Linked DNA regions of Nothobranchius furzeri. The protein of the gene in region 2 purifies or fractionates together with the protein of the main gene of each other region. This does not show direct contact. Links are inferred from orthologs where the notes say so. Each region holds a gene or a part of one and is shown on either strand. Other genes may lie near its edges. The genes, in order: cilk1 and katnip.

Evidence for each region.
Region 1: the proteins of katnip (region 2) and cilk1 purify together in Homo sapiens (affinity purification with mass spectrometry; 3 studies listed by BioGRID and IntAct, with this or other methods). This does not show direct contact. The link is inferred for Nothobranchius furzeri from reciprocal best matches to the Homo sapiens genes KATNIP and CILK1.

The regions. Positions count from the first base shown.
Region 1 is NC_091752.1:23,719,011-23,726,138, reverse strand, and holds the end of cilk1 (serine/threonine-protein kinase ICK), read right to left. Parts: intron 6,892-7,128; 5' UTR 6,732-6,891; coding exon 6,631-6,731; intron 6,474-6,630; coding exon 6,419-6,473; intron 5,602-6,418; coding exon 5,480-5,601; intron 5,389-5,479; coding exon 5,309-5,388; intron 4,614-5,308; coding exon 4,481-4,613; intron 3,631-4,480; coding exon 3,459-3,630; intron 3,336-3,458; coding exon 3,168-3,335; intron 3,092-3,167; coding exon 2,717-3,091; intron 2,628-2,716; coding exon 2,419-2,627; intron 2,342-2,418; coding exon 2,199-2,341; intron 2,128-2,198; coding exon 2,011-2,127; intron 1,338-2,010; coding exon 1,236-1,337; intron 1,154-1,235; coding exon 1,002-1,153; 3' UTR 750-1,001; downstream 1-749.
Region 2 is NC_091756.1:31,628,773-31,637,901, reverse strand, and holds the start of katnip (katanin-interacting protein), read right to left. Parts: upstream 4,290-9,129; 5' UTR 4,063-4,289; coding exon 4,020-4,062; intron 3,708-4,019; coding exon 3,613-3,707; intron 2,101-3,612; coding exon 2,012-2,100; intron 1,749-2,011; coding exon 1,573-1,748; intron 1,216-1,572; coding exon 1,103-1,215; intron 1,012-1,102; coding exon 910-1,011; intron 772-909; coding exon 622-771; intron 427-621; coding exon 186-426; intron 68-185; coding exon 1-67. Other genes in the region: dcun1d3 (DCN1-like protein 3), read right to left, coding at 6,389-6,935, 8,504-8,940. UniProt on the Homo sapiens protein: May influence the stability of microtubules (MT), possibly through interaction with the MT-severing katanin complex.

The DNA.
Region 1 (7,128 bases), on a different chromosome or scaffold from region 2:
AATATCACAGTCAGTCTCCAAAAGCAACACAGCTCATGTCTGTCTTTGTTTAAGGGACACAGCGGACTTCTCAGCATGTCTTTTGCCCCGTTTGGGAAGCATAGCTTTACTGTAATGTTGTTTTGTCCAAAAACTTCCATAAAGGTCAATATCTTTTTGCTAGCCAACCAACCAAAAAGTTTTCATGTTTTACTTTTAGAACAAAATCACTGTCATGTCACCAAATAGACCCAGGACTCCAGAAAGATGATGTAATTATTATCACCAGACATTTTTCTGATCAGTCCCACTGGCCATTACTTTGGCGTGTTAAAAAAATTAATAAACAATGCACTTGTTTTATGTGTAACCTTGGTGCATTTGATTGAGTTTTATGATGCATGATAAGCTCTAAAGAGCTCTATCTGATTGTTACTGGTTAAACAGCAAATGATTTGACTAAAAGATCTAACTTTGATGGTTTAAAACTATTTTGCAATTGAACATTTAATTGCATCGTTATCAGGTAAAATGTTTAATTATGACAACCAGTAACGCAATAATCCCCCTCAGTTCAGCCTCGAGGGGTTCAGATGCATCGTTTTACTGCTAAATCTGCAACGTAAAATAATGAACAATGTGGCAACCACTTGGATTTAACCAAGTTCTCAGATATAAAAACACTTGGTTACATTTCGCTACACAAACAAGTGAGAAATAAGGGCAGTGACTGATAGAGGTGTACAAATAATCTGTCAAAAATAAATCAGTGAGGTTTTATATCGTTTATGCATATAAGTGGGTAAACAATACAAAAGTGAGGTGAAACCTCTCCATATATATATATGTATAATACAGAAACACTGAGGGGCTGCATTCACAATCCAATATTTTACATCACACAGCATCCATAATACACACAATAAACCAAACGTATTGCTGTAGAGCATTTATGTACAGATCAGAATTTAAAAACAACTACTCTTTGGAAGTGAGAGAGTTTGTAAGAATACAAATAGCCGCTAGCGGTGTCCGTATTTGGCTGACCAGTCTGTTCGTCCATGAATGGTCTGTAGCGGCGGGCGAGGCAGCAGACTGGAGCTGCTCTTGTTGGCTGTCGGCACGCCGGCCGATGGGTTCATGTGGCTCCGGCCAGACCGCCAAGTTGCATAATCTAAAAAAATAAATAAATAAGTGTAGGGAAACAGTTTGTGAAGGGTCATCAGACAGAAGCAAAAACAGATATTAGAGCTCACTTGTTTCCATGGAAACACCCTGACGGCCTCTGCTGTGACCAACTGAGCCGTTGTCTTTCTTGTAAAATGATGGCATGTAATCACCTGGGATCGTATTTGTGCCTGATGAGCAAAAATAAAATAAAATTAAATTAAAATGTTGGGTTGAATCTTGCTGACCGTGATATGTCGTAACCGGGCCTTTCCACGGATGTGTTAATGTTGCTTAACGTTCTCGAAAGGTAGTGCGCAGCAATTAGCCACCGTTAGAGTTAATGGGTCCGTTTCCCCCGCCTGCGAAGCGTCACGTCGTGTTTTGGATGCATCCCAGAAGTGTGACGTTCAGCTTCGCTAAATTCACTCAGAGTAAGGTGCTGCGCTTCCAGTTCGGAAGAGACAGGAAGTCAAACACAGAAGCAGTGTAAAACATCCTTAAAATTTCTAAATAAAAGTGTGCAGATTTCCAGTCTCTGAATAATGAAAAAAAAAAACTACATCATTACCTGTAAACAGAACAGATAATAAATCACATTGATACATTGCGCCGTCCTTCTCTTTGCTCGTTATAGCGTGAACTGCCAAAGTCCTGAACGGTCTTGCAATTCTCTGGTGATTTTGTGACCTTGCAGGACCAACAGCGTGGAAAGCATTCGCTGCAGTTTCATACCTGAAATGCTCCCGGTGGGAATGTGCGTGCTGCTGAGTTTGTGGGGAAGACATCATCACGCTCTGCTTACACTACGCGCCACATTACGCACCCGGTAGAAAAGCAAGGTAATGGTTACAACGATGTTACCATGAGCTCCTCTGCTTGGCAGGGTCCCTCCAAACGGAATACTGCTGCTGCCACAATAATGGCTTCCTGGGAATTCTTTACTGGCATTCATGGCTACGTTCTTCTTAGTACTGATGCCTGAAGGAGACAAGAAGAGATTACTGACCAATATTTATTAAAATCACAAATAAAAAAGAAGCGTATAATACCAGGTAGATATCTGGACTGCCTCAGGTAATGCTGCTTGGCAGAGGCCGTTCTTGATGGCTCTTGATAGGCTGCGGTCTTGTTCAGGTTTAAAGGTGCATCTTCTTTTCCGCTGCGTCGACTGAAATCCAGAACAGTTCCAAACCTGCAGAGAAGCAAACCAGTCGTAGATTTATGTTTTTTAAACACTTCGTACATAACCCGAGTGATCAGTAGCATCACCTGCTCAGAGAGTCGTCTCCTTGTCTCGACTTCTCTGATGAGAAGTTAGGTTTTCCAAGGATACTGATGGAGTACGGATCAGTCTCCTCGTAGTTGTCCCAGTCTTCTCCTTTAACGTGTCCAGCTGCATGTCCCCAACGCCGCCGCCCTCCTTTAGGCTTCAGCTGATAGCCAAGCAGGCTTAAATTGTGTACATCCTGCTGCGTTTGCTACAAAACAAACATCAACCACGGGTGTTAGACAAGCTCAGAATATCCCAAAAGGCTTCCTTCCATAAAAACGTGAAAGGTTTCCACACCTTTTCCTGGTGGCCCTTGTCTACGATGTAAGGGAGACGGCGCTGAGGGGTTCCCTCCATCTGCTCCTGTTTCAGGATGTGCTTTGGCTGCTGCTGCTCCCGAACCAGCTCCGTGTGCCGCTGGTAAGCTGCCGGCTGGGCAGCTGCTGGTGCAGGGGAGGTCTGGATCTGATGGAGCGGCCTGGAGGGAGGGCTGTGCTGGTTAGAAGGCGGAGGCTGGGAGGGGGGCACTGGCTTCAACAGCAGAGGCTGCTGCTGCTGCGTCTGTAAGGGCGTCTGCAGATGCACGAGGCCGAGCTGAGGTCTGCCCTGATCCAGGATCTGCTGAGGAGTTCCCAAAGCCTGGCCCACGTGGAAGTAGGAGTACCTGAGAGCCTTTAAAAAACGATTAGAGCAAGCAGAGTTAGCTTTTATTGAGTCTGCCTGGACGTGAGAGCAGTATGGATGCTACCTGAGCAGAGGCTGGTCTCTTCTTGGGATCCCACTGAAGCAGGTCCATCATCAGATGGATGGCGTCAGGACTGGCATTTGGGATCAATGTCTTCAGATTATTGGGAACGCACTGAGGCCAGCGAAAATTCATGGCACTCGCCAGCTGGTATCCCTCGGCCCAATCATTCTAAAAGGAGAAAAACGTTTGAAGAACGTTTTATTCCACTTTTAACAGAGTTCAACTTATAAACTTGCTTGAATGTTGTCACTTTTCTTGTTTTTTATTTTATTTCATTGATCGTATCACCACCTTCTTTGGTGTCCCCAGGACTTGGCAAATCTTGAATATGGTGTCAACTTCGCTTGATCCGGGGAAAAGAGGCCTGAGCGTGTAAAGCTCCGCCATGATGCAGCCGACTGCCCACTGGTCTATGGGCGAGTTGTAGGATGTGGATCTGAGCAGCACCTCTGGAGCTCTGTACCTGGTCCAGAAACAAAACATCCTTTCATTTGAGCTAAAGCAGGTACGTATGAAGGACTCTTCCTGCCCTAACAGTAAATAATGTGTATTTATTTCCAAATATATTTATTAAAAACAAAATTTATTTCATTAATTTAGGATACAACTTTATTTCCTTCTTTCCTAATTGATAGATTTATTTCTTAAAATTAATATTTTTCAGTTTTTTTATTTTTATTTAGAAATGCATTTATTTATTTTCACTGTTATTTCCTCTTATATTTAATCTTTTCAATTATTGCCACATTAATTTGTTTAATATTTAATTTAACTCTTTCCTCATATATTATTTGTCCATTTTTATTTCCACATTCATTTATTCACAATTTTATTTCCTCATTTATTGATTTATTCCCCCCAAAATTTTTATTTACTTATTTCCATTGGTATTTCTTCATGTGTTTATTTGTACTATTTCTTAATGTATTTATTTATTGTCTATTTTGGCAGTGAAAGTCCTCCACAGGTATGCGTTATGTTTACAACAGGAGCTCAGGAGCTAGAGAGGGTTGTCCAATAATAGGAAGGTTGCAGGTTTGATCTCGGCTCCCACCATAGAATGCTGTTGTGTCCTTGGGCAAGACACTTAACCCGCCTTGCCTGCTGGAGGTGGTCGGAGGGACCGGTGGTGCCTGCGTACGGCAGACTCAACTCTCTCAATGCGCCCCAGGTCAGCTGAGCTGTGGCTACATCGTAGCTTATCCCCACCAGCGTGTGAATGTGTGTGGATGACTGATTGTGTTGTGAAGCGCCTTGGGGGGTTGTAGACCCCTAAGAAGGCGCTATACAAATACAGGCCATTTACAACTCACCATCTAGTTGAGACGTAGTCTGTGTACGGTGGTCGAGATCTGATCTCGCGGGCGAGTCCAAAGTCGGCTATCTTCACCAGCTCTGGACCCATGCACAGAAGATTCTCCGGTTTCATGTCCCTGTGGAAAAACCCTGGTGGAGACACAATACATCATCATCCTCCTCACTCCGATGGGACTAACCGTTATGGGCTCGACACACGGGAGGCGACATCGCCTCTCCTCCATTCATTTTCAATGAGACATGCGCGACAAAGCGATAATCGCGGGTCTCCCTCCCACCAAGCGAAACGCGAAAAACGTGCGTGTGAAAGTTTGCACTCGTGCACGTGTCGTGCACGTGCGACCCAGCAACGCGATCCCAGAAAGTTGAAACATTTTCAACTTTTCATCGCTGTCGCTTGGGCGAGGACCAATCAACGGAGGTTTCATTCACTGACCAATGAGCGGACAGGATGCTCCGCACTTCTCCGAGCAAACATGGAGGAGAAGTTGATTATTATTATGTTTTATAGTAAAATCAGAAGTAAGATTTCACATAACTCTAGCAGCACCTTGTGAAACATCATATCTACCACTTTATTAACTCTGAACCGCTTAAATAACCTTAATTCCCTCCAACCTGACACAGCCAAACAAAACAACGGAAGTTTGGATTTCGTCATGGAACAGAACGCGTAGACGGCTTTGCCGCTGGCCGCTGCCGCGGATCGCCTCCCGTGTGACAGGTAATAAAAGCGACAGCGACAAATTTCGCTGATCGCGGTCGTTTGTCGCCTCCCGTGTGTCGAGCCCATTAGTCGTACCACGACTGAGAAGCATCCGCACCATGTTTGTGGATAAATGCGAGTCCCTGCAGGATCTGAAACATAATATTTCTGATGGCAGATTCAGGAAACAAACGTGCTCTAGAGCAAGAAAAGAGAAAACAATTTAGAAAACATCGAGCTTTTTCCTCAAATGTGCATAAATTGTGCAAAAACGCCAAAATGTACACACCTATCTTTCATTAGCTGGTATAAGTTCTCCTTCATGTACTCAAATATAAAGTACAAGTGATCATTTTCTCGAATGACCTCCTTTAGTTTGATCACATTTGCATGATTGAGTTTCTTTAGTGACTGAAAGAATAAAGAAACAGGTTGTGTAAGAAATGTACAAACAGGAAGTAAAGGCGGGAGTAAATAATTGAATCTTGACCATGCTGGAGGGAGAGCAAACAGGTCACATTCAAAGGCACGCTCTACCTACAGCTATCCATACCATTATTTCTTGGGTAAATTCAAGAAAATAGTGAAGTTTATTGGGGGGAAAATGCTGCAAAAGAGGGATTTGCTCTTGAAAATTGAAAAGGTAGCGGGATGCACCGGGATGATGAATGTTCAACCATGCTACAGTTTTAGTCAAAAGGGAGAAGCTGAAAAAAGGCTTTGAGAGCCAACAGTGACATGCTGTAATTGTGAACTACTCAGCAGGACCCTCAGCATGTTTATGTTTTGCTACAATAAGACCAAGCTCTACAAAGAAAGGATCAGGTGGTCATGTGGACCAGGAGCTAAAATAAAAACAAGAATCACCTTCTGCTCTGTGTGCTGGTGGGAGGAAATCTGAACAGTAACATATTAAACTGGTATGGGGAAAAATGTACTGAATTATTTGTCAACTAATAACATCACACACAAATCAGCATTTGTATATTTCATGATGAATTAAGTTCATAAATTAAAATAATGACTAAAGCGATGCCCATCAACACTCTTGATTAGTGGTGCCCACAAACGGTGGCTGGGGGGCATTGCCACCCCTAGAAATTTCTCTGGCAGCACCACTGATTGTGACAGGTAAATTTGTACCGTTTATGGTAAAACCAAGGTTAATGATACGGGTAACATTTTTGTTTTGTCTGGTTTATTTTCTCATATGACTGGTGAAACTTACCTTGACTTCTCGAAGGTTCATGCATTCTTCCCAAGAGTAGAACTTTCGTTTCATTCTGGAAAATACAGATTTCTATTGAATTACCTCTAATCATTGCTTCATGTTGCTGCACAGCATCTCTTCTACATGTCATTAGGTAAATTAGAAAGTCAGCACACAATGCTGCACAGATCACAAGCTCTTAAAAAATGAGGAAGTTGCCAAATACTCACTTCTTTATAGCAACCAGCTCTCCTGACTCCAGACTGCGGCCGAGGCTGACCGATCCATAGGTGCCATCCCCGAGCTGCCTGATGGTGTTGTATCTATTCATTGTGCATGTCCTCTCATATTTTTCCTCAAGGCAAGACAAGAATTAGGAGGAAAAATGGACGTGTTCAGCTCCTACTGCTGAGTGCAACCAGATTTTCCTGTGACAAATGCAGAAGACCGTGGGCTGAGCTGGAGGACTCATGGTGTCACAAACGTCCCTCCTTCATGGTGAATGGATCCAAAAATAAAACAAGAACTAATGTTAGTTTTCCATGATTACTACCGAGCACAAGCTACTAATAAATGTGCATCTCCTCAGTAGTTGCTTGTGAGTTTCAAAAGAACCATTAAACTCATTTAAAGTTTAAATAAATTATCCAAATGCTTGCACCATTTTTGACAAAATTTATGAAAGAAAAACTGCCAGTTTCTACTTATAGTTATAGATTTTTTTTCGG
Region 2 (9,129 bases):
TTAGTGGGTATGAAGGGGTCAACACTTTCATTCCTCTTGGCAGACAGAGAACGTTCAAGTTTACGACCTGCAGCAGATAGAGGACGCGTTCGCTAATAAAACCAGACATTAGACCTATAGCTGTCGAACAGCTGGTATGATTGCTTAGTTTAGTCAATGTTGAGGAGAAGATCCTTAAAGACTACCTTTAGGTGAGGGGCCAAAGTCCAGAACAATGAGGTTTGCGGAGTCAAAATGGCCGTGACTCCCGCCTGTCCGAGAATGAGTGGAGGACTTGGAGGAGGAAAGAGGCAGCCCAAGTTCATCCAGACTCTCGGTGCTCTCATCCCTCTCAATCTGCTCCTCTACCCACTCCTCGTCGGACTCCTCCCCTGCTGAGCCGCTGCTGCTCCGTCGCATGCTAACCTCCAGGCTCCGACGCAACACCTAGCATACAAAGAGACAGTTTTTATTCATGCATCAGTGCTCACACAGGCGCAAATACACAAGAGAGGGGACATGAGTGTAGGGATTTCCCTGACCTCTGTGAGTAGATCTGAAATCATCACTTAACACCAGGCAGCATCACAGTAACATGTGAAACTCACCAAATCTTAAGGTCATGGGTGGTTTTCCTCTCACCTTCACTTCCTCGAGGTTGAGGAGCACCTTCTCGCTGTGCTCCTGGTTGCCCTGGTCTTCCTGGCACTCAGCTCTGGAGCTGAAGGAGCGAGAAACCCTGCAGGCGTCTCTTTGACTCCGAGGACTACATGGCGAGCGCAGACTAGAGCGCTGTAGCAAACATGGAGAAAGAGAAATAAGGAAAGGGGAGAGACAGAGAGGTGTTAGGAGAGTTGCGTGTGACACACAGCTCCTCCCCTAAAACGACAAAACCCACACACAGTGTCTTGGCAGGAATTGTCACTCTACCTCCATGTTCACACTTTCATAAGCCTCAAAATCGTCAGAGTAGCACGTCGCTGGAGATATTTCCAAACTTGGGCCATGCTCGGTTTGAATTTTAACACAACCCTGCACACATCAGATAAGAAGATATTGTTACTACATGCACTTATATGTATTTTTATATAAAACAACAAATTAAGACATCAAAGCTCTTTACCTGCACCCATTCTTTCCTCTGGACCTTTGCTGGAGCAGTCTGGCTCCTCTTCCTGCCCGACTGATCCGGATTACGGCTATCTTCAGTTAGATGGTGGGCGCTTATCCAGAAATCTGAGGATGAGTCACAGCACAGAAAGGAACATGAGCAACTCGCTGCAGACTATAGCCTCAGAGGAGAGAAAACACTAAACTCGTACATGCAGATGGTCCACAGCACATAAAGGAAGCACCAGAAGAAAGCTGGCAGCTACAACTGTCACTATTGTTTAATCACTGAGACCGGGCATGGACTCACACAAAACAAGCAGCAGAGCGGTGGCAATTAGCTCATGCTCCATATGCTTTACACACGACAGAGGGACCTGCAGCTTTTAGCACAATCCCAAAGCACAAGCTCATAAATAACTAATGAAAGTATAATCAAGGTCTTACATAGGAGCAAACATTTACACTCGCCTAGCTGCATACCGGCTGTGCGTGCAGGCCTCCCGGCTGGCTGAGGGGCCTCTGGCTTGTTTTTGGGGTTCTTGAGCTGCTTCCTACTGGACTCAGCATTAGCGCCGTTCAGATAAATTGAGAAGCCTTGCTCCAGCTGCTCCAATTCGATCTCTCTTGGATTTTTCACTCTGAGGCGCTTTAGGATTCTGCAAAGCATAAATGAAAATGTAAATAAATAATGCTATATGCTGTATCTGATGAAGAAAAGTCTAAAAATGTTTTCGCTAAATTCAACCAAACATTTTCAAATGTATGCTTTTACTATTTTAAATAAAAACGTGTTTTTCCTCTAAACAAAAGCACCAAACTAAACAGAGCTTCAAACTGTTAGAAAACAAAACTGTGATGCATTTCCTCTGTGAAATCCAATCAGTCCATCTGCAGCAGCCTGTGCTCACACACACGTCACCTGTTTTTGTGCTGGAGGTCAATTAAATATTCATCCAGAGTGTCATCTCCGGCAGAGGCAGGCTTCTCTCCTCGGTACGTCTCACTCTCCTTCACACGCGCGCGCGCACACACACACACACACACACACACACACACACACACACACACACACACACACACACACACACACACACACACACACACACACACACACACACACACACACACACACACACACACACACACACACACACACACACACACACACACACACACACACACACACACACACACACACACACACACACACACAGAGTCAGGAAAGCATAGAGGAAAGAAACTTCCTAATGAACACACAAATGTATTTACAACCTATACCAACATAATTCTACGCACCACAACATTCATGCATGCAAAATGCTCCTCTAGATGTGTAAACAAAGCTTCAGTTAAAGTTATGTAAAGTGACAAGTTGTCACGTTTGTTAGAAATATCACAAAATCTATGTATGAATGAAAAAAAATTAAATAAATCCAAGCCACAACTGCTTTTTCTCAACCATCAATACTTGTTTATTTTTCAACTGAGCCTTTTTGTTGTAATATAGCCCTGTTATGTGCTACTTAGGTTAAGCAGTGACTGTGCAGTAATTTGAACTACAACTTCTGTTTCCTGCAGTAATTTATCTCTAGATAGACAAATGTGGTCTTTGTGATTTGACTCCAAACCAGAAAAGTGTTGGTGCAGCTTCGCAACTAAATCCATAAAATGATTGTTGACAAATGTCAGAATGAAAATCATGTGTGTTTATGTGTACATCAACACACCTAAACTAAGGTAACCAGATTGTGTAATCATTTAGATGAACTTGATGTATCATTATGCAATTTGCATACAATGCTAAATTAAAATAATCATCAGTCATTATCCCTCCAGATGCATCTGAGCGTACAAAACACAAGCCTCTTTAAAAGGAGCATCAGTCGTCTGTACAATGCAGCCACTCGTGCAGTTCCATTACTTTCAGTACAGGTGAAACTCGAAAAATTTAGAATATAGTGCAAATGTTCATTTATGCTTTAAAGGTGAAGTGAGGTGGACTCATTATGTGCAAAGCCAGACATTTCACACCTTTATTTGTTATAACTGTGATGATAATGGATTACAGCTGATGAAAACCCTACATTCAAAATCTCAGACAATTAGAATATTGTGAAAAGGTTCAATAAAGTGCCACACTCTAATCAGATGATCAATCCAAAACACGTGCAAAGGGTTCCTGAGCCTTTACATGGTCTCTCAGTCTAAAGCAAAATACTAAAATAAATTAATTTTGCACCATATTCTTGTTTTAGAGTTTCATCTGTATTCATGCGTGACAAATAAATAAAAAGAAATTACAAAGCTCTTACTGAAGTATTTACAAGTCAACTAGGATGTCAGTTTCAGGAGCAGAGAAGAGAGAAAGATGTGAAGAAGCAGGAAAATGCTGGTTAGTGATAGATCCCTGAGACACATCATGTGGAATCACTTAATCCTTTCAATAGTGGATTTTATGGAATGAGGTATGACATGAAAAGCACTGCTGACAGAGGCCGTTACATGAAACTCATCTCTTACTTTTTTCTCCATGGCGTGCTGCAGGGACTCATCTGAAAACACTATCCCATCTTTTGAAGAGAGATTATGTGACTCCCAGTTGAGTTTGATCCTCTCTGCAGCATGACACACAAACGCAGCTTCAAGATTGCTTGACACATCTTAAAGGACTTGTTTAATTTCGCCACACCCGACAAAAACATCGCAGCACCAGGTTGTGATTACATGACATCATCTCGTGTAGCACATCTGTTCAAGGTTTTTCCACAAACCCCCATTTGTTAGCAAGTGCACCTTTAAACATCAGAATCAGAAGGGTTTTATTGTCATATGTGCGAGAATCACAAAGAAATTAGGTGCTACTTGGTGGAAGAAAAGATAAATGACGAGCAAACATTTGAATTACGAAATAAACCCAGTGAACATACGTGCAGTTAGCGTAAGACAGCGCCTGGCATTTGATTTTGTCATTAAAAGCTAGCACGTTGATCGCTGGAGATGGGCCGATGGGCTTTTTCTTTATCGTGTCCTTTTTCCTTCTTTAAACCCGCAAAGTGTTGCTAGAGGCTAATCTAGCTCGCGTTGTAGCCAATGCAACATTAGCAACCTCGCGCTAAAGCTAACAACAAACCGATACGCTAATGAGTTAGCATGCATCCGTTTTACGTGACTAGATGTTTACATATGTAATGAAAAATAGTGACGTTACTCATATGTACATTTTTTCACAAATTACAAGACATACTTACAGTACTCCTAAAGAGTTGCATTATTAGTGTGTAAAAAAAATCGTATTTACCGATGGATTTACCCAATGTTGGAGGATTTCCTCCTGTGAGTTGTGTTGCTCGGTAACCAGGGGAGCTCTCCACCAATCAGGAGAGCTGAGGCAGCGAAGGACACGCCCCATCCGGACATACCTATGCCCTCTAACTCACCATTCAATTAAAAAAAAAAAAGGTGCGAAAAATACAATAAAGGCACACAGGTTTCCATGGCAAAAAAAATCAACACTGTTTTTATTTATTATAAATCAGTACATTTCTTATAAAAACAAAATAAAAGGGGATGAAATAAAACCATTTTAGATGTTTAATTAGATAGTGGCCACCCACTTCCATTCAACCCAAGTCACAGTCTGTTGACTAACCAGCAGGACTAACTAGCTCATTCCAAAACACCCTTGCTTATAATGATCAATCTACAATTTGGATACGCTTCAAATGGTAATATTGTGGTTAACAACAATCTCGGCAAAGCATTCCAAGTACAGCAAATTAGCATGCCATTAGTTTCTGTGCAATTCATTGCAACCATTGCCAGCAGCAGTACTTGCATTATTTGTGACGTGTGCACACATATTTTGAGTGTCTAGCAGTCGAAGGACGTAAAGACTAAAACTCCTGCAGTACAACAAAAGCTCTGTGAGGTGCCCAGGCTTAATGCAGTTTAGGCATCCCTCTGTAACAATTACCCAAATTTTTGATACAAAATTCCATTATTAAAATGAACGAGGCAGCTGAGAAAAGCCAACCTCATTCAGTTGCATACATTAAAACTGTTTGTTGAAAGAAGGCGGACATGAAAATGGTAGATGTTGCGGGAGCAACACATTCTCACACCCAAGGCGTCATAATATGACGTGTGTGACCAAGTCTCAATATATGACGATTCGGGACGCCCCAGTGCGTCAGGAGACGACGATCAGGGACACGCTGGGTCACGTGGCTCCGCTGGCGTCACTGTTTGACGCGCGCTGTCACACGGACGTTATTCGACTATTTAACCTTCCCGTCACCCCGATCCTAATCTTAAGGCCCATAAACTGTGACCTTAAGGTTAGGACTGGGGTGAGGGGAAGGTTAAGTAGTTCACAAGTACTTCTAATGTCCGTCTCACCACCGGCGTCGGACACCGACGCTCTGGGACGCTGCGTCAGTTGTTTGTCCCTGATCATAGTCTCCTGACATGCTGGGGCGTCCCGAATCGTCATATATTGAGGCTTGGTCACACGCGTCGTATTTTGACGCCTTGGGTGTGAGAATGTGTTGGCGGGTCATGGGAAAGCACAGAAGCTGCTCACTGTTCAGGTAGCACTCAAAAGTCAAAGAACACTGAATACTGGAGACAAGAACAACCAACTGGGATTTAAAAGTACTCAAACTGATAAAAGTATGCCAAAGTAACTGTAATTTGTATTTTTTTAAATGCCCCTATGACTGAATTATAATGTCCTTTTCCTACTATCTGTGGGCCAATCATGATAAACTCACCCTTGCTACACGGACACATAAAACCATCCACTCACTGATTCACCATCTCATTTTTGTCACTTTGAATTGATTTTAAAAAGGTAGTTAAGACATGATTTCCCTTCTTCATTAGAAACGACCCCCTTGAACAAATTATATCTACCATGTTTCAAGATTAAATCTGCTCACGGCTTTCTGCTGCCCATTCACTGAGCTAACTCTGATGGGTTGTGGTAGGTAGGTGTATGTATGTATGTATATATATATATATATATATATATATATATATATATAAACATCAACCACATTCTTAAAACGCAATGGATGGGGGAAAAGTAAACCAATAACTTAAATAGAAGTGCTTAAAACAACAGTTCATAGAGCCCTTTCAACAAAATAAAGCATAGCAGTAATCCCATCCCAACATACCAGGAGAGATAACTGAATAACTGAAATGATAATACTAATATTCATCCAATGATTCCCACATGTACAGTTCACATATAGAGCATATCCTCTCCCCCGAGAGCAAATATGGTTTCTGGTCAGTGCCCCCCCCATGTCTGTGAGCCACGGCTCCCCTCAGTTTCAAGTCTATCTGTGGTAGGAGGACAATCCGTCTCCGTACACCTCCCTCCTTCTTCCTCCTTTGCCTTCAGTGCCTGCTCCTCCTCTCTTTTCCTGCGCTCCAACTCCCACTCCACAAAAGTGTCAAAGAGGCTGGGCCAGGCCTCGTCCTCACTGTAGTTGCTGAGGTCAGACCCAATGGCCTGGGTGAAGTTGAGGAACATGTTCCACGTGTCCCTGGAGATGCCCCGAATACCGGAGGGGTTCTCGGCTAGAAACTCCAGCCAGCGTTCCAGAATCTCCGGAGTGTCTTGTGTGAAAACCAGTCGCCATAGTGCGATGGCAATTTCCCGCTGAAGCGACCGTTGGCCCTCTTCGGCGTCCAGACCGAACTGGAAGGTGAAACGGTAAAGGTCCTTGAAGTTCTCTTCAACCTGGGCTTCCAGCAGCATGTAAGTGAAGCGTGAGCAGATGCCCTCAATACTGTCCGCCCTGATGGCCTTGCAGCCCTCAACAAACTCTTTCCTGATGACATAAAAACAGGATCAGATGTCACAATGGGTATTCAGAATTACAGTAAAATGTCATTTACAGCAGTTCTGTGAGATCTGCAAAACCAAACTTGCCCAGTGGTGTTTAAAAATATCAAGTAGATGAGCTTATCTGCTCAACTTCAACAGCGGTCTGGGATTTTCAACATCAAGTGTCATACAAAATGCTTACGCCAGCATTGCTTAACAATGAAACATATGTTGCATTGTCCAAACACTTCGGAGTGAAAAGTGCAGAGTTTAAAATCAAAGAGAGTGGGGGGGAGCAGAAACAAATGACTCAGCCACAAACGGAGCGCTATTCAGTGACAGCAGGCAGAATGGGGCTCTGGAGCAGGACACACTTCCTGTATGACCTGACTGTGGGGTTTTGTGTGTACGGCTAGCTTTCTATGAACAAGTTAGCAAACATTTAAGATTAGAGGGAACGATAAACTGGTTCTCACGCAGATCCAAAGGGCAGTGTGTGGAAAGACTTGATTTTAGAGTTATGGGAAAACAATTTTTGGATAAGAGGAGTGGCCAAAGGTTTTGTTGCTGTGCAAGTACCGAGGTGTGTTTAACCTACGGTGTTTTTCCATTGTCGGAACTTCAGGGTAAATTCTGGGAGGGGGAAACTGACCGGGAGATAAGATGTCCCGGTCCTCCCAGGTGTTGTGTCTCCATGCAGATTTAGCTCTTTCAGGACTTTGCACAGGCGTCAGCATATCGCAACTTATTTTGCAGTCAGTGATGTCATTGATCAGCTCCAAAAAGCATCCTCAGTAACATTAAAAGTTTTACTCTGTCAAAGTACAACCTAATTTAATCCATTCAGAGGATGAGAGCAGCTGCGTGAGGTAAAAAACAGAAGAAGCTTGGTTTTTTTACGCTGCGATGCGAGACAAAAAAGCCCAGTGAACTATATCATCAGTCGGAGCTTCTTTTCTTTTGCTTCCATTCTGCTTCACAAGCAGCTCTTCTAATCTTACTAATGCCAGTTGTTTTGGACGACGTCTGATGATGTAATTTCCTACAGAGTTACAACCAATCAGTGTGAGTTGACGAAGGAGGGGTGCCCAATCCTGGTCCTGGAGGGCCGGTATCCTGCAGGTTTTGGTTTTAACTCTGCTTCAGCACACCTGATTTCAATCTGCAGGTAATTAACAGGCTTCTACAGAGCTTGATGAGCTGCTGCACAGGTGATTCAACCTCTGAATCAAGTGTTTTGGAGCAGAAAAACAACAAAACCTGCTGGATACTGGCCCTCCGGGACCAGGATTTAGCACCCCTGCTCTAGCGGGCCCTTCCGAGTACCTACCCCTGTTTATTTAATCTGTTGGTTATTTGTTTGTTGAAAATTATCCATAAAATGGCCGTTTGGCTGGCCGGCCCGGTGAAACGGAGACAAGCACATGCTGTTGAGTTACGGTAAAATTACCCCGAAGCTCCGGTAGTGGAAATACGCTTCAAAATTTTAATTTGGTGGTGAAAAAGTGAAAGTAAATCCAAGTGCAACAACAGATTTGGTGCAACCCCATCCCTTCCAAAACCCTGTTGTACCTTGTGAACTTGCACATAGTAGCTGCTTGAAACTTCCAGGCGAGAACAAGAACACGGAACTCTGCGGGGTCCACACACAGATCGTTACAAAACTTTTCCATGCCCTCCTCCAGGATGGCATCTTCCTGTTCATCCTTGTAGCGTCCGAAAAGCTCCTCGATACGCAGCATGGACAGCCCGTCTTTATCCAGACATTCGTCCTTGCACGGATCCCTCATCACTGTGGAGATGATGGTCGTCTCCGCAGTAGCCTCTAAGGCTTTGGTGCCATTCAATTGTTCACTGGATTTGCAAGATGGGGCACTGGAATCTTCCTTGTGACTGCCCCCACTAGCACTTTCAACTCTCTTGTGGGACTTCGAGCTGCTCTCTTTGTCTCCACTCTTGCTGCCGAGCGAGGACGTCGGATTCTTACACTTGGTGACACACTGGCCCATGTCTTCCCTCCTGGTCCCCCGTCTGGCTTTCCTCCTCACCTTCAGTCCCCGTCCGAACCACCTAGGCGCCTCTGCTCTGGCCTGGCAAGATGTCTCAACATACCCTCAGGCCTACAGGGAGAACACATTTGTTGTTTAGTGCTATATTACAGAGTGCAGCTCAAACAGAAAATGCAATTATTCAGAAAA